Mytilus edulis: one gene and its partner. The protein of the gene in region 1 interacts with the protein of each later gene in a biochemical or structural test. Links are inferred from orthologs where the notes say so. Each region holds a gene or a part of one and is shown in the gene's direction. Other genes may lie near its edges.

The links.
Region 2: of the proteins of E3 ubiquitin-protein ligase MIB2-like (region 1) and ubiquitin carboxyl-terminal hydrolase CYLD-like, one has a biochemical effect on the other in vitro, tested with the Homo sapiens proteins (2 studies listed by BioGRID, with this or other methods). The link is inferred for Mytilus edulis from reciprocal best matches to the Homo sapiens genes MIB2 and CYLD.

Annotation. Positions count from the first base shown.
Region 1 is NC_092356.1:40,901,627-40,918,326, reverse strand, and holds the start of E3 ubiquitin-protein ligase MIB2-like, read left to right. Parts: upstream 1-8,016; 5' UTR 8,017-8,107; exon of another isoform or gene 8,108-8,526; intron 8,527-9,033; exon of another isoform or gene 9,034-9,148; intron 9,149-16,227; 5' UTR 16,228-16,237; coding exon 16,238-16,463; intron 16,464-16,700. Other genes in the region: uncharacterized protein, read right to left, coding at 4,710-5,753; segment polarity protein dishevelled homolog DVL-3-like, read right to left, coding at 901-970, 7,208-7,368. UniProt on the Homo sapiens protein: E3 ubiquitin-protein ligase that mediates ubiquitination of Delta receptors, which act as ligands of Notch proteins.
Region 2 is NC_092348.1:95,288,930-95,305,693, forward strand, and holds the start of ubiquitin carboxyl-terminal hydrolase CYLD-like, read left to right. Parts: upstream 1-9,012; 5' UTR 9,013-9,157; coding exon 9,158-9,619; intron 9,620-16,196; coding exon 16,197-16,490; intron 16,491-16,764. UniProt on the Homo sapiens protein: Deubiquitinase that specifically cleaves 'Lys-63'- and linear 'Met-1'-linked polyubiquitin chains and is involved in NF-kappa-B activation and TNF-alpha-induced necroptosis.

The DNA of each region.
Region 1 (16,700 bases):
AAATGACACACATGCACATTTGAAACATAAAACAGTGTAGTTCTGACAATATTTCGCTTAAAACTTGTATTTCTACCATTTATCATGATAACGTGATCAAATCATAATTGTCATATTTAAATAAATATTTCTGAACATGCTGCAATATTAAATATTGTTGACTAAATAAATTAGATGCAAATCATTTCTTTGCCTCTCTTATGAATCGGTAAATTTCAGCTGTCATACAACTAGCTATAGTTAACCTATTACCTTGATTGTAATTTGTAATAAGTGGATATTAAAGTAGGGCATGTTTTGATAGTACTTGTTCATCATGTCACTTTTACAACTGGAAATGTGTGGCTGTTATGACAAAAGGTCCAGTCAAAAAGACACATACACTTGCATTTTTTCTGAATTATGATAAAATGACAAACCCATGTTGTATGTCTGATACATTTTGTACATGTATGAGATAAGCACAACTGCACCAGAATATAATTTATATGACTTGTCATTAAAAATCCAAATTAAAGCTTTTAAGATATTATAAAGTTTCAAAACATTTAGCCTTGTAGTTTCATGAAAGGGAAATTATTTTAAAAATTTAAATGAATACCCAAGGATAATGTGTCCGAGTTTGGTAGCAATTGGCCAAGTACTTTCATAGGAGAAAATATTGGAAAGTTATATAATTAATGCCATATTAAAGCTTAATGCTGATGATAGCAGACACTGGCAAAAATATAATTTAAGACACAATCGAACATATTTTGTGTCCTCATACTTTTGCAAACAAAATTATTGTTTTTAGTTTTTAAAGTCCTGTGGAGACCAGGAGAATTCATAAAACCATTGGTTCATAAATGTTTCATTTTCATGTAAACTAAAATACTTTTATCAAAATTGTGTACATACCCAAGAAACAACTCGGCCATTAAAACATGGCAACTTTGCTTCATCATCAACAATTTCTTCTTTCACAACACTGAAATTATAAATTTGTCATTCATATTTTTCATGTATACAAGATTCATAACATTTGGTTGAAGCAAACTTAAGTTCAAGGGAATGGAAACGAAAAAAGTTGGCTACTTTGCCATTTATAAAGAGGCATTACTTCAGATAGGTGAAAGCGATGCCACCCAAAAATTGTCAATTCAAATTTGATCTGTGTTTTGTGGTATTAAATAAGCATTAATTGTCATGTATATAAGTTTCATAACATTTGGTTAACTAAATTTAAAGAATCATGAGAATGGAAACCAATTTCAGGACATACAGATGAACAAAGTTAATATTCAATGCCCTTTCCCACTAAACAGGGCCTTAAAAAACTCAAAGTTGTTATTTTTTTTTTATATCAGGTGACTTGTCTATGATCTATCTGAAAACTAATTAATCAATATTACCTCAACTGACCCTTTGTTTAAGGAGTAATTATTCAACTGGGGTCATAGGCCATTGGGGCTGTTCATCATATTCTGTTTAGTGTTTATTTTTTGTTCATTGTGTGTGTCTGTTAAGATTGAAATTAAGGTTTTAGATTGTCTATCCAGTAAGTATGATTTACATTTTGTAAAGGTATATGAGTACACAGTTTTCCATTTTTTCAAACATCAACATGATCAAAGGAAAGGAGATAATTTTTTTTAAAACTCCTCAATCCAACATTTGGGATTATTTTTCATACAACAATCCCTTTTCCTTGTGATGTTAGGCATTTCTTGTGTGACAACAAAATTTCTTAAGAATGTGATCTACCAAGTACAACTTCTGAAACATCAGATCTGCACCTGATCAAATATGGATCTTGTTTATTTGAAGAAATTATTTCAGAAAAAATAATATTAGATGCCAGAGGAATATATATAAATGCTGAAATGACTTTAAATCTGTGCATATTTGTCTTTTTCTAGAGGAGCTGCTGTATTGACCATATGTCGTCCGACTTGTACCCCTAAGACATCCACATGGCTGCCAAGACTCACAAATTTTCATGCTTATTTAGCAGCAATTCCTTCAATCTTAAACATATTTTCTTTATTATCTTCACAATCTTGGCTAAATCTTACATATTTGCTTCATGAAAACTTGACAGTACTGCATCCCCAGTATCAATGGGGGGGTAATGACCTTTATTGGGACTCCGGGATCGAGTGTTTTTAAGCTCTGGATTTCAATATTAACCTTTTCAGGATCAGGGAATTTTTTTTTTCGAATTTCAGAATGTCGGGATTTTAGTTATTTAAATTCAGGACCTCAGGATTTCGTGTTTTTAAGCCCGGGATTTCGGGATCAGGACCCCTCCTACCCCCTCATCAATGGGGTTTATGTTGCTTGTATTTTGTTTTCTATGTTGTGTTTTGAATAATCTTGTTTGTTATTGTGTCACAACATTGTCAGTTAGTTTTAAACTAATAGATGAGTTTAAATATCACTTTGGTTTCTTTTGCCTCTTTATTTTCCAATATACCTTATCGCCGAATGTAGGAAAAAAAGTCACAGGAAAAAAAGTCACGGAAAAAAAGTCACGGAAAAAAAGTCACAGGAAAAAAAGTCACAGGAAAAAAAGTCACAATTAATATTTTGTATGAAAACTGTCATATGATCTGCACTTATATATTGGTAATGACTTTTGTCTGTGTGTGTTTTTTTTCTGCTGTTCATGTGCAAGTATGGTTTTGTGTTTTTTGTATCCCATGTCCTTTTGTTTTATTATAAAATCTAGAATGTAAACTAGGAAATGTGTCAAAGAGACAACAACCCGACAATAGAACAGACAACAGCAGACGTTCACCAACAGGTCTTCAATGTCATTCAAAGGATTTTTTTTGTAATGTTACTGATACATGTTTTGTTGTAATTATTTTTGTTTCATGTGTTTTTACATTAGAAGCAAATTAGACAGCTTAGCATATGTTTCTACAAAAGCAAAAGAAAACCTGTAGACGCTCGTGAACTGATACAATGTATGTTTTGTTGTAATAAGTTTTGTTTCATATCTTTCTTGAATGATGCTAGTTATAGACAGCTAAACGTATTTTTCTACAAGTCTTATGCTCTTTTGCTTTGGTAATTACACGTAAAATCGCAAAGCAAAAGAAAACCTGTACAAGTTCGTGTATTGATATATTAAAAAAGAAGATGTGGTACCCAACTGTCCACAAGAGACCAAAATGACACAGAAATTAACAAACATAGGTCACCTGTACAAGATCGTGTACTGATACATGTTGAAGTTCTTTTTGTTTCATACCTTTTTTTTTATGTATGACCTGTTGATATAGTGTTAAAGAAATAAATTAAGCAAAACGAATTGAATGTAGTAATGTAGATTTAATGTATACATCATAATAATATAAGTCAATAATAGTAACATAATAAATAATCAAGCACAAATAAATGTCTTTATCAATGAACAACAGATAATGAACATGTGATGCACATAGTTTTACTTAAAGTTCACTTGATATATAGCAGAGATGACAACTAATGGTTAAGTCTTATGTTCCAACCAACACCCCTGAGAAATTCTGCAATGGTCTTGTTGCCTGATGTCAAGTCTCTGCACAAGTTTTGAAGTCTTAGTTGAAGTTGGACATAACGTTGTTGGACCCGTTTAACTGGTGGGGTGCCTATGTAACAAAAAATTTGTTCCGGCGTGACATTTGTTCCATCAGAACAAATTTCATAGGAAATAAGTTCCACTGGAACTTATGTCACAGAAAATATGTTCCAGCACTATAAAATTTGTTCCGGAACTAATTTTTTAACCAAGTGTGAAATAGGTTCTGGAACAAAAATCACAGCACCATCAATTTTGTTCCAATATTAAAATTTAAAAAAAAAAGTGAAATAAGTTCTTGGGATATTAGTTTTAAACGTAGGTATTTTATAGAAATCAATGAAAATGTTCTGCTCAAACCTATTTCACAGAAAATAAGTTCTGTGCTTGCATGGGGTACATTTGCAATTGAAGGAATGACTTTAGCATGAAGATAAGAAATAAAAGCGATGATAATGTATCTATGTTTGATCGTTTATGTGGTATTCAACCTCCATGTTTCCTGATGATCTGTCATGGGTGTTCTAATCCTACATGTACTTAGCTATGGTCATTGCACAGTTTTTAAAGAGCGTGTATTTTGTTTCTTTATGTCTTTTAATATAATTGATCAGCCACTTTGTGCTTTTCAAAAAAGTACAAATATTCATCTTCAACTATAATACTTTTTTCGGAATGACTTTTATTATTATTTCTTATTCTACTCTTTCCTGGCTCATAAGTGCCATTTTTAGTATTATTACTTGAGCTGCCATGTTATTAAACTTTTGCTTTACTCCACATGATCCAATTGGATGCTTACACTTTTTATTTATTACATTATCAATATAATACATGTATTTTATAATGACAAGTGCTCAGTATATAGGAAAACTTGTTTAACCAGTGGAACATATTTCACAGACAAGGAACTTATTTCACCAGGTGAGGAACAAATTTCACAAATCAAGAACTTATTTCACCAGGTGAGGAACAAATCTCACAAACATGGAACTTATTTCACTAGGTAAGGAACAAATTTCACCAACCCAGAACTTATTTCACCAAGTAAAGTGTGGAACTTATTTCATAGAGATGGAACAAATTATATAGAAATTGTCTGTGAAAAAAGTTCTCCCAGAACATATTTCCTGTGAAATTAGTTCCACTGGAACTTTTTTCACAGGAACAAATTTTGGCTCACACCTACAGCGTCTTGTTGTATCAAGGTTCTCACTGTAGCTTCTTCTTTCTGGCACCATTCTACTACTCTCCATATTGATGGGTGGGCATAACCTACTAAGTTGAAGAATTTGTTGTTCCAACCTTCACATACATTGTTGGTTCTTGAATCACCGTTGACTGTTGCGTCATGGACATTCCATATAGTTGGTGGGAACATGGGTGGAGTGCGGCGCATTACTAAACGGAGACCTTGACCTGGTGCTGGGTTACGTCTCATGTTGCCACTTACATAGGTTGCATCAAAGTAATCAAGAAGTTCAGCTGCTTCTGGTGGGTCATCTGGACACAAAGTTCTTAGCAGGTGGACACCATTTGGCAAATCAGCTACAGGCAGAAAGGCAAGGCCGTCCATCATACCACAGAACAAGCGGAAGTCATCGCTAATCTTGTAGTGGGGAACCAAACCAAGGCTCTGTATCTTTCTCCAAGTTGCTTGTGTAAGATGATAGAAACATCCCTGGTTGTTGATATGGCGGCCAAATACTGCCGACACTGCACGTAGAACGCCATCTTCGAAGTCTGTTACCACAGTCTGAACATTTAACTGTAGGTGGCTGGCTTGGCATTTGTCGACCAATGACTGAAATAACTCTCTGTATGTATCTTGATTCTTGTTCGGCAAGAAAGCATACACTGTGGTGACTGTAACATCTTTAAAAGGTACTCGGATGGTGTACAGCTGTTTAAAAAGACGTCTTAAACTGTCAGGACTACAAAAGACCAACATTCTGTTCTCAGCATTCTGTCCATTGTCATACAGTAGGAACTGTTGGTGGTTGGTTGTAATAGTGAATTCTGCTGGCAGTGTGACATCTACAAAGCTCTGGGGAACAGGTGGTGTTGGACGCTGGTTGCGCATGGTGCGTTTACAATTCTCTTCTCTGGGCATCATTGCTTGCACATCATCTTCACATGTTGAAACAACCTGGGCGAAGATCTGGCTTGGTTTGTCTCTGGTGAGAGCAGCCTGCTCTTTCATTGCGTACCTGGACTTAGTGTACTTTATGCTAATATCACTTGGATCATGGTTGTGTGGCTGGCCAGGAGTTGGATTTTCATTCTGCAGAGAAGTTGTAATGGACCCTTTACATGCAGTGCTGGATCGCTTCACACATTTCCACCACTGTACTGTCTTTCTGGTAGTATGCTTTAATAGTGTACATGTACCCCTGGTAGCAAAGTTTGGAACCACCTTTGTTGCTCTTGATGACTTCCATACTTGATTTAATAACACTTGAAATTATTTTTTTCTTTTATAGAAAAGTAAATGAAGTCATACATTTTCTTTAATTTGAGTCAAAGTTAGAAAGTCTATGATATGGTTTGACCACATGTTATTGTGATTTTTGTTTTTCTATAGCTGTGTTTTTACCAATTTCATGAGAATCCTTCAATTACATGTTAAACAAACAAAGCATCCCCATTAACAATAATTATGTAATTACAACATTTATTGACAGTGACTGTTGAGATTAATTAGTGGCTTCTTGTGGCACCTTTCCCTTTTTTGCAGACCTTTCACTTCCTCTTTTGGAAGGAAGCCCTACCCATGAAAAACAACTAGGGCTTATCATGAATGAAAAGGAAACAAATGGCTTATCCTGTTTGTTTAAGAGTTTGGTTTTAAAAAGAGAACATAAATTATAATACACTTTTCATTTTTTTGGTGTATTTATTAAAAAAAAAAATGATGAAAAACATATATTTTTTTATTTTATTAACCCATAAATAAAACGAAATCTGTTAATATCGATGTGCGCTTTACCTATATAAATTTTAAAAGCTTTTATTTAAAAATAATTGATCTGATACACTTTTACTAGTAGTATTATTTTTATTTAACAAAACTACATTTTTTTAAATTATCTATTTCATACAGCTGATATACAAAATCACTTTTGTCATGTGCATTCCAACATACTTCTTATAAAACATTTTATATACTTCTTTCAAATAATTTTATAATTGTGACTTTTTTTCCTGTGACTTTTTTTCTTGAGACTTTTTTTCCTGTGACTTTTTTTCCTAGAGGTTTTGTGACTTTTTTTCCTGTGACTTTTTTTCCGTTGACCTTATCGCCAACCCCGGCTGACCCGGCCGCTTGAACTTTTGACGTCAACAACAATCACTTTTCCATTGTGGCATCGGATATCTTGTTTTATGAAGTCAAAATTTTACGTGAACCTGTGTGATATCCAGTAATGGCAGACAAATAGCGATAAGGTGTATATTAATGCAATACACGATAAGGTGTATATTAATGCAATACAATGAAATTATGTTATTTGTAAATTATATTTTTTTACCAGTAGTCTACTGGTTGTTTTTCTCGTACTGCAAAAGTGACAGTATTAACTAATACTCTGAAAATCTGAATTAAACATTATTGCGGGCACCTAGATCTTTCATGGTGTGCAACTGGCTTTAACTTACCCGAAGTCATCATCCACCGATTTGAAGAAAAATTTGTAATTTGGTCTGTTTAAAGCGTTCTTAAAATCACCAAGATTTACACGATCAGCGGGAATAGGTAGTTTGATTAAATAAGGAGTGTCTTCGTCATCTATATAATAGATGATTTTGGTCTCCTCCATCCCGAAGGAGGATGTCTGATGTTGTTAAATCCACAATGATTATCAAGTTTCTGTGGAAAATGGCGTCCAAATGTTTTCTTCTGTTCAGTGCCAAATTGAAACCCGTATGTCAATCAGTTAATTTTCGTTTCCGAAAATGAAAATTAAATATCTTAAACTTTCACATCACTTGATAAGAAAAAAATCGATAGTTTTATTAAAATCAAGAAATTATCCATTGGTAAATTGTAATGATTTTCTCTATTTTCGCATACAGAACTATTTCTTTTGACTTTTGCTTTGTTTCGGATTTAGTAATTGACATTCAAATGGTTCTCTTAAATTTCTCAAAAACAAGTGCCCGAAAAAAGCATCAGATAAAATATTGTACATTAAATAAATGAATATTAACAAAATATATAGAAATAGCCACAATTGCAAATGTCTAACAGATTATTAATCCAATGAATTTCATGAGACATGATGAATCATCCTTTTTATTCAACAAAACATGGCAAAATTTTGGTAAAATAAGAATAAAAAGTTTGAGATTAAGACAGATTCATTTTGAGACACTTGTTTCTTAATATTTTATTGGCATGTGACTAGATGAGAATTTTCTAAAGAAATATTTCTTTATTTTATTTTTTTTCAATTTTTATTTGTCAACATTTATTCACTGCGGATTTTCGAAGGAAGCACTTCCGCCAGCAACATATTCAGAATTTTCAGCATCACGATGTATTAAATCAACAAGTTGGTAATTTTGGGAGTCTGAAAAGCGCAGTTAAGATTGATATATCTGGCCCATTGTAAAAGTGTCAAGCCCTCTCGGTACCTGTGGTCCCAAATTTGAATTGTAAATGTTAAGGTCGACACGAACATGGCCAGACTTGGTGTAAGGAATGCGGAAACCACAACTTAAATTCATTACAACGTTTTATGACAACAACCAATCATTAGCGCCAGTTTAATCTATTTCTCTGTAAATTGACATCATGAAAGTCTGCATTTTTACAGTGTCCATTTTCAATGAAATCCATATAACATGATTGTGACTGTGACCCTTATGAACTAACATAAGTGTCCCTTTTCTAAATGGTTCATGAAGGATGTGTAAATATACATGTATTTGAAATTATGTTGAATGATACAGAAATTTGTTGGAAATACTTTGAGGTATAGTCTTTAAAAAATATCTCCAAGCTAAAAATAATTTGTTGCCAAATATATCCATGTACATTTTATAATTTAAGAGACCTGTTAAACACCACTTTAATTTCATAATCAATAAGCACTGATAAGTTCATGATACTGCTTCTATAGTAGATTGAATTAATGGGTAAAATATGGGAAATTTATATTGAAGTAATTTAGAAAAAAAATACTGCCAACTGGCAGACAAAATTTAAAATGCAGAACTAGAGTTGAAGGCAAAGGTATATCTCAAAATCTGAAATGATTGATTACTATTGAAAGACATTATAGTACATGTTGCAATGATGTACATGTTAAAGGGGCACTAGCTGTCAAATTCATGAACACCGATTTGATTCAAATTCTCATATTTGATTTATAACAATGTAAAACATTAATCGTGATTAATCCTAACTATCAAACGTCTAAAATAAACAGTTTACAGAGCATGGGGTAGATAATATATAGGTTCGTTTCGTTTGTTTTTTAGTCCAGACGCCATCCAATTAACTATCTATTTGACTTCAGATGACCATAAAAGCGATGTAAACATAAATAAAGATATGAATAGATTAAACCAACACGTGCAATTGGAGCTTTATAGGTCTGTTTGATTATATTTTATAGATTAAAAATAGATGTTTCTCATTGTTTTTAACAGTATAAGAATGATTTTATGTGCATCGATTAGTAATCAAATGTTTTACCGTAGTTTCACTTTCATTGTTGTCATTCCTTTTCTTTAAATAACCAGTACACGTACAATGCATGCGTTGTCTATCTCTAGCTAGGGGTTAAATTGAAGTTCACATGAATACGGGTTTTAAGAGGTTGACTCATTCACTTGCAAGTGAATAACTAATTATCAATGTTTCTTAGCGTAATTTGACAAAATTGAACCTTTTTGGCTGCAAAAGCGAATTGTTATTTCACTATTTCACTTTCATTATTGATTGAACAAAAAAAAAAATCAAATTTTAGATTTTGTATATATCTCGTAGCTAGTGCCCCTTTAATTTGCTAAAGATCCCAGAAACTGTTTCCACTTTCTTTACACACTGAATGGTGTATCATTCAGGATTTCCTGTTGGTGTATGGCATAAAAAATCCTGTTTACTGAACCCATATGGACTCCCTTAAAGGAGAATTAGCTGTCAAATTCGTCTTCACCGATTTATATGTTAATCATGGTTTTTACCTAAAGAAATTGTTTTTTAGCTCACCTTTCCAAAAGGAAATGTGAGCTTTTGCCATTACTTGGCGTCCGTTGTCGTTTGTCCGTCGTCGTCGTAAACTATTTCAAAGATCTTCTCCTCTGAAACTACTGAACCAATTCAAACCAAACTTCATCTGATTGATTCCTAGGGTATCTAGAATAAAGTTTGTGTTTTAATTCCCATTTCATCAAAAAACATGGCCGCCATCAGGGCTTTCCATTGAAATTGAAGTAGAAGGCTGAATTAAAATTATAGGCGGCTGTAACATGCGTTCGGCGAAGCCGGACGTCCACCAAGCTGTAAGCTTGGTGCCTTACGGCAGGGGGTCTGGGGGCCGCTCAAGGCCCCCAGAAGCTCTGCCATAAATAGAGCAAAATCCTGCATTCTCGCAATCTCCTGGCACCTAATTTCATCTTTCAAATGACCATTTTTTATGTATGAAATTAAAGAAAAAAAAAATCTCAAAGACTTTTTTTTTTTATGTTATAGTTTTTTATTTTCATTTATTTATGCTTAAAATTCATTTACTTTTAAAAGAGATTTATTTATATAATAATCCGGTTTGTTAAAAATCTTCATCGATTTATTTTGCAGAACTACGTGCATTTGTAAACAAATGACCCCCCTTTTCTCTCTAAAGACTGGTACGCGTAACTAAAATCATACAATTATTTTTCAAGCATTGACAGAAAATTGATATATCCTCTGATTTTCTCTTTTAAACTGTTCAATAAGTCGGATACATAAATTATTTGGAAATGTTATTTATTTGAGGTCGAGTCGACAATATTCTACTTTCGTTTTTGACCTTGATTCTCTGAACACCACGTGGGCCTTGAAAAATGAACTTCAAAAGATACTGTTTTCAAGATTCTGAACATTATGATCTACTACACTTTCTTTAATTTGACTGATATTATTCCATAACATAAGATTGTCATCCTATCTGATTGTCTTCACGTTTTAAAAGTAAAAAAGCCAACGAGTTATTGACCCTCGGAACGTCTCTATTGTTATCATTCAATGACCACCGGAACGTCTCTCTTGTTATCTTTGAAAAGAAACGATGCATTCTGACTTTAAACAGACAACCAATCAGTGACCTGAATTCATGTGAACTATATTTAGCCCAAGGTAAACACTGACTTTTCATCCTTGTTTATCGTGACCGCGACTTTGCGAAAATACGTCTCTCGGCTGCCTGTAAACATTTGAAAAAGATATTATTTTCTTTTTGAATTTATATTTTTGTCAGTGAAGTAGCCGGCACTTGAAGCCACCGCAAACGGCGGATTTCCGCCGGCTACCGGCTTCAATGGAAAGCCCTGCTGCCATGGCTAAAAATAGAACATAGGGGTAAAATGCAGTTTTTAGCTCATAACTCAAAAACCAAAGCATTTAGAGCAAATCTGACAAGGGGTAAAATTGTTTATCAGGTCAAGATCTATCTGCCCTGAAATTTTCAGATGAATCGGACAACCCGTTGTTAGGTTGCTGCCCCTGAATTGGTAATTTTAAGGAAATTTTGATGTTTTTATGCGCCCATCGTCTTTTAGACGGGACGTATTATGGTATACCGTTGTCCGTCTGTCCGTCCGTCCATCGTCCACACTACGGACAATAACTCAAAAACACTTTCACCAATTTCCATGAAATTTAAGTGAATTGTTGATATCTATTGACGTAAGCTCCCTTTCGTTTTTTTTTAATTTCAGGTTATAATTTTTGGATTTATGGGGCTTTATTTATAAAAAAGGGGGGATTTTCAACACTTCGGACAATAACTCAAAAAGGCTTTCACCAATGTCCATGAAACTTTGGTGAATTGTTTATAATTATTGATGTAAGCTCCCTTTCAATTTTTATAAATTTCAGATTTTAAGTTTTGCATTTATGGAGCTTTATTCATAAAAAAGGGGGATTTTCAACACTTCGGACAATAACTCAAAAAGGCTTTCACCAATGTCCATGAAACTTTGGTGAATTGTTTATATCTATTGATGTAAGCTCCCTTTCAATTTTTATAAATTTCAGATTTTAAGTTTTGGATTTATGGGGCTTTATTCATAAAAAAAGGGGGATTTTCAACACTTCGGACAATAACTCAAAAAGGCTTTCACCAATGTCCATGAAACTTTGGTGAATTGCTTATATCTATTGATGTAAGCTCCCTTTCAATTTTTATAAATTTCAGATTTTAAGTTTTGGATTTATGGGGCTTTATTCATAAAAAAAGGGGGATTTTCAACACTTTGGACAATAACTCAAAAAGGCTTTCACCAATGTCCATGAAACTTTGGTGAATTGTTTATATCTATTGATGTAAGCTCCCTTTCAATTTTTATAAATTTCAGATTTTAAGTTTTGGATTTATGGGGCTTTATTCATTAAAAAAAGGGGGATTTTCAACACTTTGGACAATAACTCAAAAAGGCTTTCACCAATGTCCATGAAACTTTGGTGAATTGTTTATATCTATTGATGTAGGCTCTCTTTCAATTTTTTTTAAATTTCAGATTTTACATTTCCGTGTTATGAATTTTTATGCTAAAAAAAGGGGGGATTTTCCAATTTTGGGACAATAACTAACACTTTCACAAAATTTTATGCAACTTTGATAAATTGTTTATATCTATTGACATAAGCTGCCTTTCCATTTTTATAAATTTTAGATTTTATGTTTTCTTAAGTAATGAATTTTTATGCCCCACATACGATAGTAGAGGGGCATTATGTTTTCTGGTCTGTTCGTCCGTGCGTCCGTTCGTTCGTCCGTCTGTTCGTCCGTCCATCTGTCCCGCTCCAGGTTAAAGTTTTTGGTCAAGGTAGTTTTTGATGAAGTTGAAGTCCAATTGACTTCAAACTTTGTACACATGTTCCCTATGATATGATCTTTCTAATTTTAATGCCAAATTAGAGTTTTTATCCCAATTTCACGGTCCACTGAACATGTAAAATGATAGTGCGAGTGGGGCATTTGTGTACTGAGGACACATTCTTGTTATACTTAAAAAAGGGGGATTTTATGAAACTTTGGTGAATATATTAATGTAACATCCCTTTTGATTTGTATATATATTTCTAGTTGATCATATAAATTCATTTAAAGCATAAAAGACAAGTTAAAAGAGCAACGGCGTATCATGCACAAAAGCGCAGCCCTTTATTGGTTATTATCATGAATATTATTATAGATAGAGATAAACTGTAAACAGCAAAAATGTTCAGCAAAGTAAGATTTACAAATAAGTCAACATGACCGAAATGGTCAGTTGACCCCTTTAGGAGTTATGGCCCTTTATAGTCAATTTTTAACCATTTTCCGTAAATCTTAGTTATCTTTTACAAAAATCTTCTCCTCTGAAACTACTAGGCCATATTGAACCAAACTTAGCAACAATCATCATTGGGGTATCTTGTTTAAAAATTGTGTCCAGTGACCCGGCCAACCAACCAAGATGGCCACCATGGCTAAATATAGAACATAGGGGTAAAATCAGTTTTTGGCTTATAACTCAAAAACCAAAGCATTTAGAGCAAATCTGACAGAGGTTAAATGGTTTATCAGGTCAAGATCTATCTGCCCTGAAATTTTCAGATGAATCAGACAACCGATTGTTAGGTTACTGCCTCTGAATTGGTTATTTTAAGGAAATTTTGCTGTTTTTGGTTATTATCATGAATATTATTATAGATAGAGATAAACTGTAAACAGCAACAGTGTTCAGCAAAGTAAGACTTAAAAATAAGTCAACATGACCGAAATGGTCAATTGACCCCTTTAGGAGTTATGGCCCTTTATAGTCAATTTTTAACCATTTTCCGTAAATCTTAGTTATCTTTTACAAAAGTCTTCTCCTCTGAAACTACTGGGCCAAATTTAACCAAACATGGCCAAAATCATTATTAGGGTATCTAGTTTAAAAATTGTGTCCGGTGACCTGGTTAACCAACCAAGATTGCCGCCATCGCTAAAAATAGAACATAGGGGTAAAGTGCAGTTTTTAGTTTATAATTATAACTCACAAACCAAAGCATTTAGAGCAAATCTGACATGAGGTAAAATTGTTTATCAGGTCAAGATCTATCTGCCCTGAAATTTTCAGATGAATCGGACAACCCGTTGTTAGGTTGCCGCCCCTGAATTGGTAATTTTAAGGAAATTTTGCTGTTTTTATGTCCCACCTACGATAGTAGAGGGGCATTATGTTTTCTGGTCTGTGCGTCCATCCGTTCGTCTGTTCGTTCGTCCGTTCGTTCGTCCGTCTGTCCTGCTTCAGGTTAAAGTTTTTGGTCAAGGTAGTTTTTGATGAAGTTGAAGTCCAATCAACTTGAAACTTAGTATACATGTGCCCTATGATATGATCGTTCTAATTTAAATGCCAAATTATAGTTTTTACCCCAATTTTACGGTTCACTGAACATAGAAAATGATAGTGCAAATTTCAGGTTAAAGTTTTTGGTCAAGGTAGTTTTTGATGAAGTTGAAGTCCAATCAACTTGAAACTTAGTATACATGTGCCCTATGATATGATCTTTCTAATTTAAATGCCAAATTATAGTTTTGACCCCAATTTTACAGTTCACTGAACATAGAAAATGATAGTGCAAATTTCAGGTTAAAGTTTTTGGTCAAGGTAGTTTTTGATAAAGTAGAAGTCCAATCAACTTGAAACTTAGTATACATGTTCCCTTTGATAAGATCATTCTAATTTTAATGCCAAATTAGAGAATTTATTCCACGTTTATTTCATGGTCCACTAAACATAGAAAATGATAGTGCGAGTGGGGCATCCGTGTACTGTGGACACATTCTTCTTGGTTATTATCTTGAATATTATTATACATGTAGATAAACTGTAAACAGCAATAATTTAATGCTTGGGGTATACAATGTTTTTTTATACTTTCATCATAAATTATATTATGAACACGAGACAAACGAGACATTTCAGTGTGTCCACTCTTGTTTTTGCTTTTGAAGAAGATATGACAGAATTCCAGAACCATTTATATAAATTGAAAACCCAAAATAATCATTCATGGAAGATTTAAGCAAAAAATATAAAGTGAGCGATTCAGGCTCTTGAGAGCCTCTTGTTTGTGGATTGAATCAGTCAATGAAATGGTTGACCCTCATATCGCTTTCAATGATGGCATTTTTTCCCTTTCAAAACTAAAGATGGCTAAGTTATGCAGAATGAAATTCTAGCTAAGGGGTAAAATTTAAGGTCACATGAATATTGATTGACAGAGGTTGAATTATTTACCTGCAAGTGTCCTCAATTAAAATACCAAACAATTCGCATCAATATTGCAAAATTCTCTGTTTTTATACGACCGCAAAAATTGAAAATTTTTTGGTCGTATATTGGTATCACGTTGGCGTCGTTGTCTGCGTCGTCGTCATCGTCGTCCGAATACTTTTAGTTTTCGCACTCTAACTTTAGTAAAAGTGAATAGAAATCTATGAAATTTTAACACAAGGTTTATGACCACAAAAGGAAGGTTGAGATTGATTTTGGGAGTTTTGGTTCCAACATTTTAGGAATTAGGGGCCAAAAAGGGACCAAATAAGCATTTTCTTGGATTTTCGCACTATAACTTTAGTTTAAGTAAACAGAAATCTATGAAATTTTGACACAAGGTTTATGACCACAAAAGGAAGGTTGGAAATTATTTTGGGAGTTTTGGTCCCAACAGTTTAGGAATTAGGGGCCAAAAAAGGGCCCAAATAAGCATTATTCTTAGTTTTTGCTCAATAACTTTAGTATAAGTAAATAGAAATCAATGAAATTTAAACACAAGGTTTATAAACACAAAAGGAAGGTTGGGATTGATTTTGAGAGTTGAGATCCCAACAGTTTAGGAATTAGGGGCCAAAAAGGGGCCCAAATAAGCATTTTTCTTGTTTTTCCCACCATAACTTAAGTACAGATGTATAAGTAAATAGAAATCTATCAAATTTAAACACAAGGTTTATGACCATAAAAGGAAGGTTGTGATTGATTTTGGGAGTTTTGGTCCAAACAGTTTAGGAATAAGGGGCCCAAAGGGTACAAAATTATACTACGTCTCCATAATGGTCAACCAACTTGTGATGGCATCTATAAAATTTATGAAGGAATGATTTCAACTTCACATTTTGAAACTCTTGGTTTAATAGCTTCCTTGTGAGCAGCAACCCTCTATCAAGGATACCATGATAGCAAATACAAGCCCTGGAATATCATATCAATTGGGAGATATATTCAAAAATATCCTAGGAAACTTGGTATGGGCACTTACAATGTATCATGCTTAACGACTATGTAACAGTAAGGCCAAATAAAAGTATATGTGTGGTTCCATGTAAAAATATAGAGTTCAAAGAGTAGACAAGAAGTGGCACCAAGTTGCAAGCTCGATACAAATCAGTAAATTTATTTTTGTTAAATAATCATTTAATAATGTATTTTGATTTTAGATAAGTAACTATGCTAGAAGTTGGTTTGCGTGTGACTCGTGGACCAGATTGGAAATGGGGGAACCAGGACGATGGTGAAGGTCACATAGGGACTGTGGTTGAGATAGGAAAGCCAGGAAGTTCAACCTCACCTGATAAAACAGTCGTTGTGCAATGGGATTCTGGATCACGTACAAACTACAGAGTGGGTTACCAAGGAAAATATGACCTTCGTGTGCTGGATAATGCACCAGTTGGTAAGAATTTTTGGTGATAAGATGTCTTGGAAGTGATTTATAATTATAATTTTGAAGTTGTCTGCTCAGAAGTCCCTCAATTTGCGAGATTAAATTGATATATTAAAATATATCAACATCAAAATTTAAAAACAAAATAGTCAGAACTTGGTTAAACCAACTCTAAATGCGTTTATCACTATGTCATGTATATAGACACAATCATGTCACTTATTCATGCTATATTCCTAGTCGAAG
Region 2 (16,764 bases), on another chromosome or scaffold:
AAAGGAATTAAATTCAAATAGTTTTTGTTCACCGTCTTCTTTGAATATATTAAATCCATTATTTCTCGTTCTTTTGTGCAATTTGATATTATTTTTGTAAGATATTGCTTTATTTTATTGTTTATTATTATGGTCATTGTCAAATATAGCAATATAAAATATTTCCAGGAAGGCAACTCCGCCCATTAAAACGCCAACGATCTGTTGTATTATAATAGCATTACTTCCATAGGTAGCTCATTGACAATCATATTATTTGTAATCAGGTTGCATGGTAACTTCTAAGGTTTGATACGATTGGCGAAGAATTATATATTGTTGATTGCTTAAAACCCAGTGGCAAGTATCTCATGTATGTGTAGGATGATGGTATAGTGATGATATAAGGTTGTTTGCTTTTATAGTAGTATAACTTCTATAGTTCACTGACAATCATATTAGTTTCAATGTTACCTTCAATGGTTTGAAATAGTGATGAAATATTGACTGTTGGTTGCTTAACGTTCAGTGGAACATATTTCATGTATGTTTAGGACGATGAAATAGCTATATATATATATATATAGTGATGACCTAAGGTTATTTGCTAGTATAATAGTATAACATCTATATTTCATCGACAATCATATTAATTTGTATTTATTTTCCATGTTTCCAACTAAGGTTTGACTTGAAATAACGACGAATTATTGATTGTGATTGTTTTAATGCCAGTGACAAATATTTCATGTATGTGTAGGACGATGATATAGTGATGGCCGAAGGTTGTTTGCTAGTATTATAGTATAACTTCCATAGTTCATTGACAGTCATATTGATTTATAACTAGTTTTCATGTTCTGTATAAGGTTTGAAATGATATAGCGATGAAATCTTGATTGTGGTCGCTTAACATCTAGTGGCACATATTTCATGTTTTTTTAGGGCTATAATATAGAGACAAGGCTGTTTGGTAGTATAATAGTATAAGTTTTATGGTTCATTGACAATCATACTAGTTTGTACGTAGTTTCCATGTTACCTTCAATGGTTTGACATATTAATGAATTATCGATTATTGGTTGATTAACGTTCAGAGGCAAATATTTCATATATTCTTAGGACGATGATATAGGCACGGAGATGACATAAGGTTATTTGCTAGAATAATAGTAAAACTTTCATAGTTCATTGACAATCATATTACTTAGGTCTTTCTACCTTTCCGTGGAAAGACCTATTGATTTTGTTCTGATTATTAGGTCTTTCCACCTCTCCGTGGAAAGACCCATTTATTTGGTTTTGATTATTAGGTCTTTAAACTTTTCCGTGGAAAGACCTATTGGTTTTGTTCTGAGATTTATTGTTTTTCTTCCGCCACATTTTGTTCTTACGTAGTATTGTGGTTTCGCAAGATGTCGCCTAGATTTTTTCGCATATGATATCGAACAGTTATTGCGCTTTTGAAACTGACCCTGTTAAACCGTACACTTTACATTGTAAGTGTTATCTCCCCGAACACTGTTTTCCTTGTGTCCACTACTCCTTCACAACCGTAAAAAATTACGACAAATTTATTTTACCAAAGTGCTTGCTATATCTTCAAGATGATGACTTGGATTGCACCAAAGTTCTTTCCCCTTATGCATTTGATATAAGTGATATGCATATAAACTCATAAACCGTAAGCCGTATAAACATAGAGTCGCTTTATTGAAGGTCCTTGGGTCCCAACTTAGAAAATTAGGTCAAGGACAAGGTCATGTTCAAATTTTGACATTCACTTCAAACTGCTTTTACTCAGAAAAATGTTCGGGGTAAAATTTAAAAAAATGTGAGCAAAATGTTACATTACACTGTAAGTCGAGAGTATTCGTCGAAATTATACGCTTAGTATTTGGGGGGGTTTTCATGCCACTGAAATGGAAAAACTAACAAATTAACTAATTATAGCTTCAGAATTTACATCTATCATGATGCGTACATGCAACTTATCTTTGTAAATCATCCAATGCCAACAAAAACCCATCTAGCCCTCCCTTTTTTTTGGAATCCAATTTCTATTTTATTAAAAAAAAATGCTAATCCTTCTTATTTTATGAATAAATTTCTTTCTGAAATACAAATTTATTCCTGCAAAATAAAATCTGCTCCAAATCATGTACATGTAAATACATTCAAATAAGAGAATTGATGAATATCCTATAGTCAAAGCAGGTACTTGATGAATATCCTGTAGTCAAAGTAGTTACTTGATGAATATTCTATTATCATAGCAGGAACTTCATGAATATCATATAGTCATAGCAGTTAAATGATGAATATCCTATAGTCATAGCAGTTAAATGATGAATATCCTATAGTCATAACAGCTTCTTGTTGAATATCCTACATTCAAATACGAGAATGGATGAATATCCTATAGTCATAGCAGTTACATGAGTAATATCATATTGTCATATCAGGTACTTCATGAATATCATATAGTCATAGCAGGTACTTGATGAATATCCTGTAGTCAAAGCAGTTACTTGATGAATATTCTATTATCATAGCAGGAACTTCATGAATATCATATAGTAATAGCAGTTAAATGACGAATACCCTATAGTCATAGCAGTTAAATGATGAATATCCTATAGTCATAACAGCTTCTTGTTGAATATCCTACATTCAAATACGAGAATGGATGAATATCCTATAGTCATAGCAGTTACTTGAGTAATATCATATTGTCATATCAGGTACTTCATGAATATCATATAGTCATAGCAGGTACTTGATGAATATCCTGTAGTCAAAGCAGTTACTTGATGAATATTCTATTATCATAGCAGGAACTTCATGAATATCATATAGTCATAGCAGTTAAATGATGAATATCCTATTTTCATAGCAGTTAAATGATGAATATCCTATAGTCATAACAGCTTCTTGTTGAATATCCTACATTCAAATACGAGAATGGATGAATATCCTATAGTCAAAGCAGGTACTTGATGAATATCCTGTAGTCAAAGCAGTTACTTGATGAATATTCTATTATCATAGCAGGAACTTCATGAATATCATATAGTCATAGCAGTTAAATGATGAATATCCTATAGTCATAGCAGTTAAATGATGAATATCCTATAGTCATAACAGCTTCTTGTTGAATATCCTACATTCAAATACGAGAATGTATGAATATCCTATAGTCATAGCAGTTACTTGATGAATATCATATTGTAATATCAGGTACTTGATGAATATCCTATAGTCATATCAGTTACTTGATGGATATCCTATCGTCATATCAGGTACTTGATGAATATCCTATAGTCATAGCAGTTACTTGATGAATATCATATTGTCATATCAGGTACTTGATGAATATCCTATAGTCATAGCAGTTACTTGAGGAATATTCTATTGTCATAGCAGGTACTTGTTAATTTTTCTATAGTACTAGCAGTTACTTGATGAATATCCTGCAGTCATAGCAGTTACTTGATAAATATCGTATAATCATATCAGGTACTTGATGAATATCCTTTAGTCAAAGCAGGTGCTTTTTGAATTTCCTACATTCAAATGCGAGAAAGGATGAATATCCTATAGTCATAGCAGTTACTTGATGAATATCATACTGTCATGTCAGTTTAATGAAGAATATTCTATAGTCAAAGCAGGTACTTGTTCAACATCATATTGTCATAGGAGTAACTTGACGAATATCATATAGGCAAAGCAGTTGCTTGTTGATTATCATATAGTTATAACAGGTTCTTTTTTAATGTTCTATTGTCATAGCAGTTACTTGATGAATATCCTGCAATCATTGCAGTTACTTAATGAATATCCTATTGTGATAGCAGTTACTTGAGAAATATAACATTGTCATAGCAGGTACTTTATGAATATCCTATAGTCAAAGTAGGTACTTGATGAATATCATACTGTCATAGCAGTTTAATGAAGAATATTCTATAGTCAAAGCAGGTACTTGTTCAACATCATATTGTCATAGCAGTAACTTGATGAATACCCTTTAGTCATAGCAGGTACTGGATGGATATCCTACATTAGAATAAGAAAATTGATGAATATCGTATAGTCGAATCAGGTACATGATGAACATCCTATAGTCATATCAGTTACTTGAAGATATCCTATTGTCATCGCAGATGCTGGATGAATAATCTGCAGTCATAGCAGTTACTTGATGAATATCCTGCAATCATAGCAGTTACTTGATGAAAGTCCTCTTAAGATAGCAGTTACTTGAGAAATATCTTTTTGTCAGAGTAAGTACTTTATGAATATCCTATAGTCAAAGTAGGTACTTGGTGAATATCATACTGTCATAGCAGTTTAATGAAGAATATTCTATTGTCAAAGCAGGTACTTTTTCAACATCATATTGTCATAGCAGTAACTTGATGAATACCCTTTAGTCATAGCAGGTACTGGATGGATATCCTATATTCTTAGCAGCTACTTGTTGGATATCCTACATTCAAATTAGGGAATTGATGAATATCCTTTAGTCAAAGCAGGTGCTTTTTGAATCTCTTACATTCAAATACGAGAAAGGATGAATATCCTATAGTCATAGCAGTTACTTGAGGAATATCATATTGTCATATCAAGATCTTGATGAATATCCTATTGTCATAGAAGTTACTAGATAAATATCTTATAGTCATAGCAGCTTCTTGTTGAATATCCTACATTCAAATACGAGAATGGATGAATATCCTATAGTCATAGCAGTTACTTGATGAATATAATATTGTCATATTAGGTACTTGATGAATATGCTATAGTCATAGCAGTTATTTGATGGATATCCTATTGTCATAGCATGTACTTGATGAATATTCTATTGTCATAGCAGTTACGTGTTGAATATTCTATATTCAAATAAGGGAATTAATAAATATTCTATAGTCAAAGCAGGGACTTGGTAAATATCCGATCGTCATAATAGTTCCTTGATGAATATCCTATTGTCATAGCAGGTACTTGAAGATTATCATATAGTCATAGCAGTTACTTGAAAGAAATCCTATTGCCAAAGCATGTACTTGATGAATATCCTATAGTCGTAGCAGTTACTTGATGGATATCCTATTGTCATAGCATGTACTTGATGAATATCATATTGTCATAGCAGTTACTTGTTGAATATCCTATATTTTAAATAAGGGAATTGATGAATATTCTATTGTCATAGCAGGTACTTGATGAATATGCTATAGTCATAGCAGTTATTTGATGGATATCCTATTGTCATAGCATGTACTTGATAGAATATTCTATTGTCATAGCAGTTACGTGTTGAATATTCTATATTCAAATAAGGGAATTAATAAATATTCTATAGTCAAAGCAGGGACTTGGTAAATATCCGATCGTCATAATAGTTCCTTGATGAATATCCTATTGTCATAGCAGGTACTTGAAGTTTATCATATAGTCATAGCAGTTACTTGAAAGATATCCTATTGCCAAAGTATGTACTTGATGAATATCCTATAGTCGTAGCAGTTACTTGAATGATATCATATTGGCAAAGCATGTACTTGATGAATATTATATTGTCAAAGCAGTTACTTGATGAATATCCTATAGTCAAAGCAGTTCATGATGAATATCCTATTGCTATATCATGTACTTGATAAATATCATATACTAACTCAAAGCAGGTACTTGTTGAATATCAAATTGTCATAGGAGTTACTTGACGAATATCATATAGGCAAAGCAGTTACTTGTTGATTATCATATAGTCATAACTTTTTGAATGTTCTATCGTCATAGCAATTGCTTGATGAATATCCTGCAATCATTGCAGTTACTTAATGAATATCCTATTGTGATAGCAGTTTCACAAGAAATATAATATTGTCATAGCAGGTACTTTATGAATATCCTATTGTCAAAGTAGGTACTTGATGAATATCGTAGTGTCATAGCAGTTTAATGACGAATATTCTATAGTAACCTATAGTCATAGCAGACACTTGATGAATAACCTATAGTCATAGCATGTACTTAATAAGTAACCTTTAATCATAACAATTACTTTGATTTAAATCATATAGTAGAAACAGTTACTTGATGAATATCATGAATATTCTTTAGTCAAAGCAGTTACGTGAAGAATAACCTACGATCATAGCAGTCACTTGATTAATATCCTATAGTCATAGCACTCTGTGTTTTTTGGTTTGTTAGATGTATTTTTGTTTGTACCCAACTGATGATATAAGCTTTTTTCCACTAAATTTAATTATAGTTTATTCTTATGTTGTACTGTTTTATCACTGTCACAGGATATTAGGAGGGTTAGTGTCTTCGAATAAGTTTTAACCCACCACATTCTATATGTGCCTGTCCCAAGTCAGGATCCATTCAGTGGTTGTCGTTTGTTGCTGTAAAACATATTTGTTTTCATGATTCCGTGCATAAATTGTTTTTACATTTGTCATTTTGGGCCTTTTATAGCTATGCGGTATGGACTTTGCTCCTTATTGAAGGCCATATGGTAACATACAGTTGTTAATTTCTGTGTCATTTGGTCTATTTTGGAGTTGAATCATTGGCGATCATACTACATCTTCTTAATTTTTTTTATGAAAGTCTGGTTCTTCTTTTTAGTTATCGAAGAGTCATGCACAAACAACGGGAATATTGGAAAATAACCTTTAATACTTTTTTTCATTTTTGAAGAATGTAAATGAATTTTCCTTTTTTCTAAATTGCACTCATTAATTCTATATCTATTTAAAAATTTACTGAGAAAAAAGTAATCAAAATTACGGTATATAGCTCTTAGGCAGATTTGAATTTCGGGGGAGGGGCAAGGACTTTTTTTTCTGGACAAACTTTTTTTTGGCGAAAAGACGAAAACAATTTTTTTCTTTCAATTTTAGAATTACATATAGTGGCAGCTGAGGATGAAACAAACACTTTTTTTTCTCAAGGTCAAAAACAAATATTATTTTTCTCCAAAACCTGGAAACAAACTTTTTTCCAAAAAAAAATCCATAGCACCCCCCACCCCCAAAAAAAAAATCAAATGCTACATATTAAAATAGGTCATTTCTATAATTGTAAAAATACTTTATCTGAGTTATCTCCACTAATTTGGCAAAGCTGAAAACAAATTACAGCCGTAAAAATGAGAAAACACATACCAACAATCGATCAAATGTTGCTTTAAAAATGAATTAAACAATACAAGCCACAATTGTATTCAAGACAGCAAGTCTGTTGTCTGTTTTTATAGTAAACATTTACTGAAATCGTTTTTGTTCATTGAGAATATATTCCTAAGACAAGCTCAAGTATGTCAATTAATTCATAGGGCATCATGTGATAGTTGAAGTTACCCAGTGCAATCATTTTGTGTCCAACTGTGTCTTTAAAACATATCAAATGTTGTATCCACTGTCTGCTGTTCTGTAGTGTGTTAGGTCGCGGCTTTTTTTTTAAACTTTAGCCTCCCACTTCGGCAATAACAAATCATAGAGGGGGAGGACGGTTACCCGGGACAAATGTTTTTTTGTCAATTCATAAAAATATCGTTATAAGTAACAACTTTCTGTATTCTAAGATCTGCTATGACATCACAACATTGAATTCACCAAGGTACACTTAAGCTTTTATCTATAGATGTCTTATTAAAAATAATATTCACGGAATCTTAAAGTATTTTCTATGTTAAACATATATAATGTCTGAGATATTTTCTTATGCAAATAAGTTTAAAATTTTCATTTTTTTTTAAGATAATAGAGTAATCAGATATGTAATTTGACCCATATCTTGCGGTTCATCGATTTTCGGTAAAATCAAAGAAAAACCGGCAAGATTAACATTGTTAAATACTTCATTTATTTGTTATTCTGTTTATTTTATTATTTTGAGTTTATGCATTAAATATCAATTTCTAACAAAACATGATTTTTTTTTACATTTAATAGTACTCCTTCTTGTCAAGAGTGTCGTATTATAAGTTTTTAGTGCACTTAGGAGTCCTAATCAGTGTTAAGACACACTAACTTCATAAAATATTATTATATGAAATGATATATAGATTTCTGAACAAAAGAACAACCCAAATAATTACACACAAAAAAAGAACCATAGAGCATAAATCTTTAAAGATTTCTTGTTTATGAATGTTGAAAATTTGTTTCTTACTGTTAAACAGTCTCGAATTAATTTATTGATTATAAAATTCTTTAAAAAACACTTTTTCCCTGTTATGTCAACGTTTATTGGGGTCAGTTGTTATAGAAATTTAACTTCTGACACCTCTTAGCAATATTACAGGTAAACATGTGATCATCTAGCCACCTGTAATATGCATTTACCTGTAAAAATCAAACCTTTAAGAGAAAAAATACAAATATACATGTATATGATAATAAAAGGTATTTTACTTTGTAAACGATAGAGAAAACAAAACTTTATTTATGTGTGGAACTTTTAAATTTTACAAGAAGCTTCAATATTCGAGGATTGAAAATTGGAAACTATGTTCCTCTTGTGTCCATTCTGTTGCACGAATAGTCCGATGCACTTTACCATCATAGTTAATACAAGGATGTGAAGTCCGAAATTTATTTTTTAAAACACCTGTTGAACATGTTTTAGAAAGGGTAACTTTTGCTTTAAGGAATTATTTTCAAGGAATTAACTTCCAAAGAAAATAAGTTGACCGCCAATCAAAATCGATTTTACAATTGGCTAGCATTTCCGGTTTTATCTAAAATTATCAAATTTACGACTTGTGTTTTAATTCACTTGGTCGAGGTTAACTATCATTGTCGAAACAATTCACCTTGTCGACTGTAAATGCATTATCAAAGAAGTAACTATCATTGTCTGCGCGCGAGTCACATTAATTAGACCATCTATGATGGTCGACCGTAAAGTATACTTTACGCCGTACATCTATAATGGTCGACCGATAATCTATCATTGTCGCCGATAAACTGTGATTATCTATTAATGTGCTTTACGCGTTCCATAAGTATCATATGTCGTTCGTTGTCTTTTGTTGTGGTATTATGACGTATCAGTCTATTTTAAGCGTTTTGGAGTTCCCCAAAGTTCGATAATGATTCCCCGTTTGATGATGCCACGAATATAAACAAATGTCGATGAAATAGGACTGGATATGTCTGAATATCCTCAAGATGAATACTATATACTTCTTACTACAAAGATAGGGAAAAAGAAGGAGTCAGGAATTCTTAGAAAATCATATTCTCGTGTGGAAGTCCTAGCTGGCACACTTCTGCTTAGAGTAAGCGATAGTGAGAGGGACGAAAATGGGATTGCAATTTGGACCCTAGAAACATTAGAACCGGAAAACATTGAAGTAGAATGTAAACCAGTATTCGATGAAATAAAACAAATTGATAGATTGGAACTACAACTATTACAGCCTATCCCAGTATGTAGTGAAAGGATTGCAGTTTACATGAACAGTAATTGGCTTCAAGAGGGCCTCAATTTAAAGGTTGGAGATGGAGTTATTGTTTATTTAAAAGGTCACCCTGAGTTACAGGGCCTTCTCAGGTATAGAGGAGAGCTACCAGGACAAAAAGGAATCCAATTTGGAGTCGAATTAGCTCCGGTAAGAAGCCCTATCCTCAAAATATTTCAGAGGTTTATCATAAGATACTAGTCCGCGGAACAGTATCGGACAAAAATATCCGGATTTATTCGAGATATTACTAAAATTTTCTGCACATGTTTCTCTGTTAAACATGTTTTCAAGCATTATGAAGTGAGTCCCATATCTCTGTTCTTGATGATGCAAGATTTACAAAATGGCTTTTCATTATTAACATAATTTTAGATAGAAACAGAAAGTAAAATAAAAGATGGAAAGTTTGAATTAAATTATGTCAGAGGTCAGGAAATAACAGGTAAGATGAAAATACACTGATTTCTAAAATCTAATTTATTACAATTCAGTTAAATTTAGTAATAATGCAACATGAGGTGTCGGCAGGACTTATTTAAAATGAAAGTACATTTTGTACCTGTACATTTACCTATTAAAATCATGTTTAAATTAAAGCATAAACAGTCAGAGATATTTATAACTCTATAGGGTACAGAAAATAACTTGCGTGTGTGATTACAGTTACTTTCATGAGTTGTCTACTCTTTATTCCTTAAATTTTTTGAAATCTGTAATAACATAATATATTTGTTATTTGTAAAATTATTTCATTTATAGTGGGCTCTAGTGAACTCTTGAGACTTTGCGCAGAAACTAAATACATAGCCTTGATAACTAATTCTTTAATTTAATTAATACATTTTTTATTAACCATGGTAAATCAATAAGACGGAGGCTATTAAGGGATAAACTTAGCTGTGATAACAAGGCTAGGTTATTAAAAGAATATAACTTTTTATATACATGATATAAGACACTTGGGAATTACAGAGAAACTTGTGCAGAACATTCATGACATTACATGCTCTAGATCTGGTCATTATTTCTTACAATAAATAAGAATACATATATATATGATATAGAGAAGCTGTGACAACACCCTTTAGTTATTACAGGCAATTTTTTTCTGCAATAACATATATACATGATATAGGTGTACTATGCAAAATTGACAAACTACATGTATGAACTGTTATACATTGTATCTTTCAATAGTTAAGTTTACTAATAGACAAAAGTAATATCAAGAGAACTTTTATACATTTAAACTAAACTGATGATGTATATTGTCCCTTTGAAACATGTAACATACATATATGTTATCACAGTTCTTTGATTTTTCAGTCCACAATAACAAATGTATGTTATTTTTCTGTAATAACCCGATAGAGTTATATCCCTGACTGTTAAAATGCAGTCATCTTTTGTAACTTGTTTAATAAGTCAATTGAATTCCTAATTTATGAAACTTGATTAAAAAGTGTGTACAGAGCTAACAAATTTATACAATAATTCAGAAATTATTGCGTGCATTTATTATCGCGATTTTGTCATTTTAGACTAAAATTAATCTATAAATGCGATCTTAATTTTTGCAATATTGAGAAATATCCAATAAGTTCATATAAATTTTTCAAAACGAGAGTTTAAATTATTGCAATGTAAACCTTTGGCATTTTTGCATTAATAAAAACATCGCAATAATTTCTGAATTTATAGTATTCATATTTCTGATTCCTGTTTTTCCTGAAATTAAGGATAAGGACAATGAATAGTACCCCAGAAAATTTTGTTAGAATATATACAAAATATAATTATTTATCATGTTTATAGAATGTGACAATGCAAAAGTACATTGTACAAAAGTATAAGCAGATAAGACTTTTTACATGTAACTAGTATAGATATTTAATATTTAAATTTTCCTGATGCCAGATGAATACTAGAAATTGAAGGCATTATTTATATATTTCATGTATTTAATTCTACATTTTCTAATTCTGTAATCATGCATACATGGCACATGTTTACTTACATGAACAAGAAATTTAACTACTTACAGAGTACATTGTACATACATCAGTTTCTTCTTTAAAATTTAAATTCATCTTATAAATTGTCCTGGATGGAAATTTCCACCAATGAAAACAAACGAAGCAGACTAAGGTATCAACTTACAAATGTACATGTATGTAAAAGTAAAGGAAGGTTATACAGGTCATGAAATTCAAATTCTTTGAAAAAAGGATACATGTGCCATTTATAACTTGTAACATAGATGTACTATTCATGAGTTATAACTTTGTTAAACAAGTGAAGTTATATTAATTTTGTAGTATAAAATTTCAAAACTCCATGAAAAAACCCATGTTATGCAATGCTAAAACAAACATTTAAAAAATAGTAATAATATACAGGCAGCATACAGTCCAATATACAATAACCATGGTAACAGACATAATTTATTGTCGAGCCTGCAACTTTTGTTGCAGAAAGCTCGACATAGGGATAGTGATCCGGCGGCGGCGGCGGCGGTGTTAGCTTACTTCTTAAAAGCTATATATTTTAGAAGGTGGAAGACCTGGATGCTTCATATTTTGTATATAGATGCCTCATGTTACAAAGTTTCCGTCAGTCACATGTCCATTGTCCTTGACCTCATTTTCATGGTTCAGTGACCACTTGAAAAAAAAGTTCAGATTTTTTGTAATGTTAAATTCTCTCTTACCGTAAGTAATAGGATAACTATATTTCGTATGTGCGTACCTTGCAAGGTCCTCATGCCCGTCAGACAGTTTTCACTTGACCTCGACCTCATTTCATGGATCAGTGAACAAGGTTAAGTTTTGGTGGTCAAGTCCATATCTCAGATACTATAAGCAATAGGTCTAGTATATTCGGTGTATGGAAGGACTGTAAGGTGTACATGTCCAACTGGCAGGTGTCATCTGACCTTGACCTCATTTTCATGGTTCAGTGGTTATAGTAAAGTTTTTGTGTTTTGGACTGTTTTTCTCATACTTTATGCAATAGGTTTACTATATTTGTTGTATGGAATGATTGTAAGGTGTACATGTCTAGCGGGCAGATGTCATCTGACCTTGACCTCATTTTCATGGTTCAGTGGTTATAGTTAAATTTTTGTGTTTTGGTCTGTTTTTCTCATACTTTATGCAATAGGTTTACTATATTTGTTGGATGGAATGATTGTAAGGTGTACATGTCTAGCGGGCAGATGTCATCTGACCTTGACCTCATTTTCATGGTTTAGTGGTCAAAGTTAAGTTTTTGAGTTTTGGTCTTTTTATCTAATACTATATGTCATAGGTCAACTATATTTGGTGTATGGAAATATTTTATGGTCTATATGTCAGTCGCGCAGGTTTTATTTGACCTTGACCTGGTTTTCACGGTTCATTGCTCAGTGTTAAGTTTTTGTGTTTTGGTCTATTTTCTTAAACTATAAGCAATAGGCTCAACTATATTTGTCATGTTTGTTGTATGGAAGCATTGTTAGCTGTACATGTCTGCCTGGCATATGGTTCAACTGACCTTGACCTCATTTTCATGATTTATGTTAAGTTTATGTGACAGTCATAATAAAGCTTTATATTTAGGAGTATCAACATAATATCAATGATTAGTAAAGAAGGCGAGACATTTCAGTGTGTGCACTCTTGTATTGTACAAGGTCCTATTTTTTGTCAGGAAAGTACATGCATTCTTTTCTTTCTTTCAGAAATTGACAGACCAGCTTTTTTTAGTAGTTGTTAAAGTCATATCTATATATATATGGATTTATATTTTGGAAAACAAATTTCAAAAAGTTTTGAATAATAAAACTTTCAATAAATATTTCAGTTGTTTTACATGCATGTAGCATGATGTTTTAGGGCATCATATCTTTTCAATTCACCTATCCTTCAACTTTGGTTTATCTGATATAAGACAATAGCAATCAAAATCAAGGAGTAAACAAAGACTCATAAAACCAAGGGACATTTACATCAACAGTTATAAATAATAAATAAGAAACAACACAAACTCCACTAAAAAACGGGAGTGAAATCAGGTGCTCCGGAAGGGTAGGCATTTCCTGCACCGTATACGGCACCCGTTGTGTTATTTCTTTGTTCAGTTTGGTAATAATATGTATATATACATGATATATATAAGTTTAAACATTCGTTGGTTTATTCTATTTTTCTCCTATACCCAAATGTTCTTGTAACAACTTTTTCCTCAGATTTCTGCAAACAAAACCTACAAATGTATAGAATCCAAAATGCAGGAATCATTGCATAAAAATATTGTGTTGATTTTTTGGGCCTTTTTGGAATATTAGCTGTGTCACAGATATATGGTTTATTTGTTGCTTATAAAAGGATATACATTTTGTACCTTTACACGAAAACTGGCAATCATGGTCTATTAAGATTAGAGTCAAATGCACTTGCCAAGAGCTTAGTTTTAACTCACAACCTACATTTTTGGAATAAACTTGCTGTCAGGCAATCTGTAGACTTTTACCATTGACTCCTTTCCGTGGCTCTTGACCATGTTGACCTTTTTGTGCTTTACATTAGAAACAACTCAGATTCTTAAGATTATCTTGTTATGTTAGAATTCTGATATTAAGATGATAGTCAGACCCAAACCTCTCATATTTGGTGATTTGAATTCAACATTGTTTTAAATTGGAAGATAATTTTTACAGTTTGGTTTGTACAAAAATTATTTATTGATATTTGTATTTAGGATTATTAGGATCAAATAATAAATGCATAAATATATAAATATTTATAAGGAAAATAATCTGATTACCAAATTTGAATGTGATCAATTCTGAAATTATTGCCATTGATTTTCTGGATATCAGACTTACACAATGTCCTCCAAAAACATTGCAAAAAATAAATCACAAATCATTGCCACCAATTGCAACTGTTCATGTATTTCCTGCATACAGGGGCATGACTTTTTGAAGTTTTTCATTCATAAATTTTTTAAATGGATTTCGACAGGTTAGGAATGTTGGAGATCTATTTTTAACTTGATAGAATTGTTATTATTTTACTTTTCTTTCGAGAAAAATGTCCTGGTATCTGGTTTTACCTGACTTTTCACCGCATTGAAACTAAATGAATCGCCTTAAGGAAGTTTTCTTAGCTTTTGACTACATAAAGTTATCGTTTAGTGTCACTTACATTTTGACCTATTACGGAAAACCAAATCTGTGTTTTTATTTGTACGATCAGACCACTATTTTAAGGAGTGGTTCACCATGTCGTGGGGTAAATGATGCTTTTTTATTAATATCATTGCAATGATTTCTGTTTGTAACTTCCGTGGTCGATTTTTTGAAAATCTAAAGATTTACAAATGTATGTAGGCGTAATTTTTTTGGCATACTATCAAATATTTATGTCACATACATGTAGGCCTTTTTTTTTTTTTAAGATATTGTGCAAGCTTGCACTGATCTAGAAGACCTGCTTGATACAAGAAAAACAAAAAAAAACAGTTATTATTCCACAAAATTATGCATGGAAGACATGCACATTTTCAAATTTTCACACAAACTTTTTCTCTCAACAATTTCTAAGTATTCTTGTCTTGATAATTTGAATAGATCTGTTGCATATAAAAATGATACTTTGATCTTTTTGTCAGCAAGCACACAAGATAATGAGTCAGTGATATCCTAACATGCCTAACAGACTTATCAATGTAATAAACAAAATCTTAATTATCTATCTGTTTTGTGGGATGTACCAAGCCTGCATCCCTCAAAATGTAACCAAAGGAAGTGAAATATTTGCTTGTTGTGATCTGGGAAATGAGGACCCTCCATTTTGTGACTTTCAGGTGACATTTTACAAAATCATATCAATACATTTCCCCATAACAAAATGTAAATTCACTTGTGCATTAGTGATTGACATCAAATTGCTGTTGTGATGATCTTCGAGGCAGCAGAAAGACATTTATTAATGCTGGACTAAATATGTTGAGAGTAATATAACTTATCATGCTAATGAGGTATGATTGAGAACTATTCTGTACTGCAAATTCTGAAATTGTTTCCTGGCCTTCGGCTGTTTTCTGTTCTTCGGTCGGGTTGTTGTCTCTTTGACACATTCCCCATTTCCATTCTCAATTTCATTATGCAAATTATTGCTGCAAATTTGTCATTTTATCCCAAAATGACTTAATATTATTGTGATACTGAGAGAATTTTGCCATCAAATCCAAAATGCCAGTTTAAATTATTGGGATTACAACCTAGCTTGTTTTTTTCCCCAATAATTAAAACATCTTGAAAGATATTGAACTGACCATGCACACCAGCTTCTTTATTGCTCATTGTTGAAGGAGTGAGGTAAGGTGACCTATAGATGTTAACTTCTATGTCATTTGGTCACTGGTGGAGAGTTGTCTCATTGACAATCATACCACATCTTCATTTGTTATATGCATTGTACACAACTAATATACTTTACACAAGAGTTACTAAACTATGATTTAAGGTCACCTTCTGATCAAGAGTATAATGAATTCATAAGAGAGGTGACTTCTGAATGTGGTATTACTACAGTGGGACAAGAAGAGTGTGACGTGACAGGTTTTTGCTTAATTGAAGTGACCTTCATAGCAGTGACCTTAACAGCAGGTTTGATTGTACATTCTGAATGTTTAAGCAAATATTAACCTCAATAACCTATGACTTTGTGTATTACAGGAACATAGAGGTAAAGGTACTTGTGATGGAGTATTCCGTAAGAAACGGTTCTTCACTTGTGAACCAAACTGTGGGGTGTTTGTGCCTCTGCATAAAATCCGAGCTGATCCAACATCTAGACACGCTGTTAATACAGCTACTGCAAGTTTACGACAGGAAATAGCTGAATGTGGTCTAAGGATCGGTAACCAGATTGTCTGGCTCAGTGACAATGGACCTGAATATGGAGAGGTCAAGTGGGTCGGGGTATTACCGGACTCACGCAGGAATGATATAACTGTTGGAGTGGAATTTGTAAGTAATAATCAGTGTATCATGTTTTTGAATATAAACAGTTTATGTACACCAAAATATTCAATTACAGGCAAAATCATTGTCAGACTTGGCATCTCTATTCAAAGAATGACAGAACTTGTTTTCTACATGATTTGTAATGAAAAAGGAGGCATCAATATGTAAATTTTCAGTCAAAGAGATCAGTTCTTCTTTTTATTATCTTAGTTTCATTGGAAATTTCAAACGACACAGTCTAAAGTCATGTTATTTACCATTGCATGGTGTTCCAGGC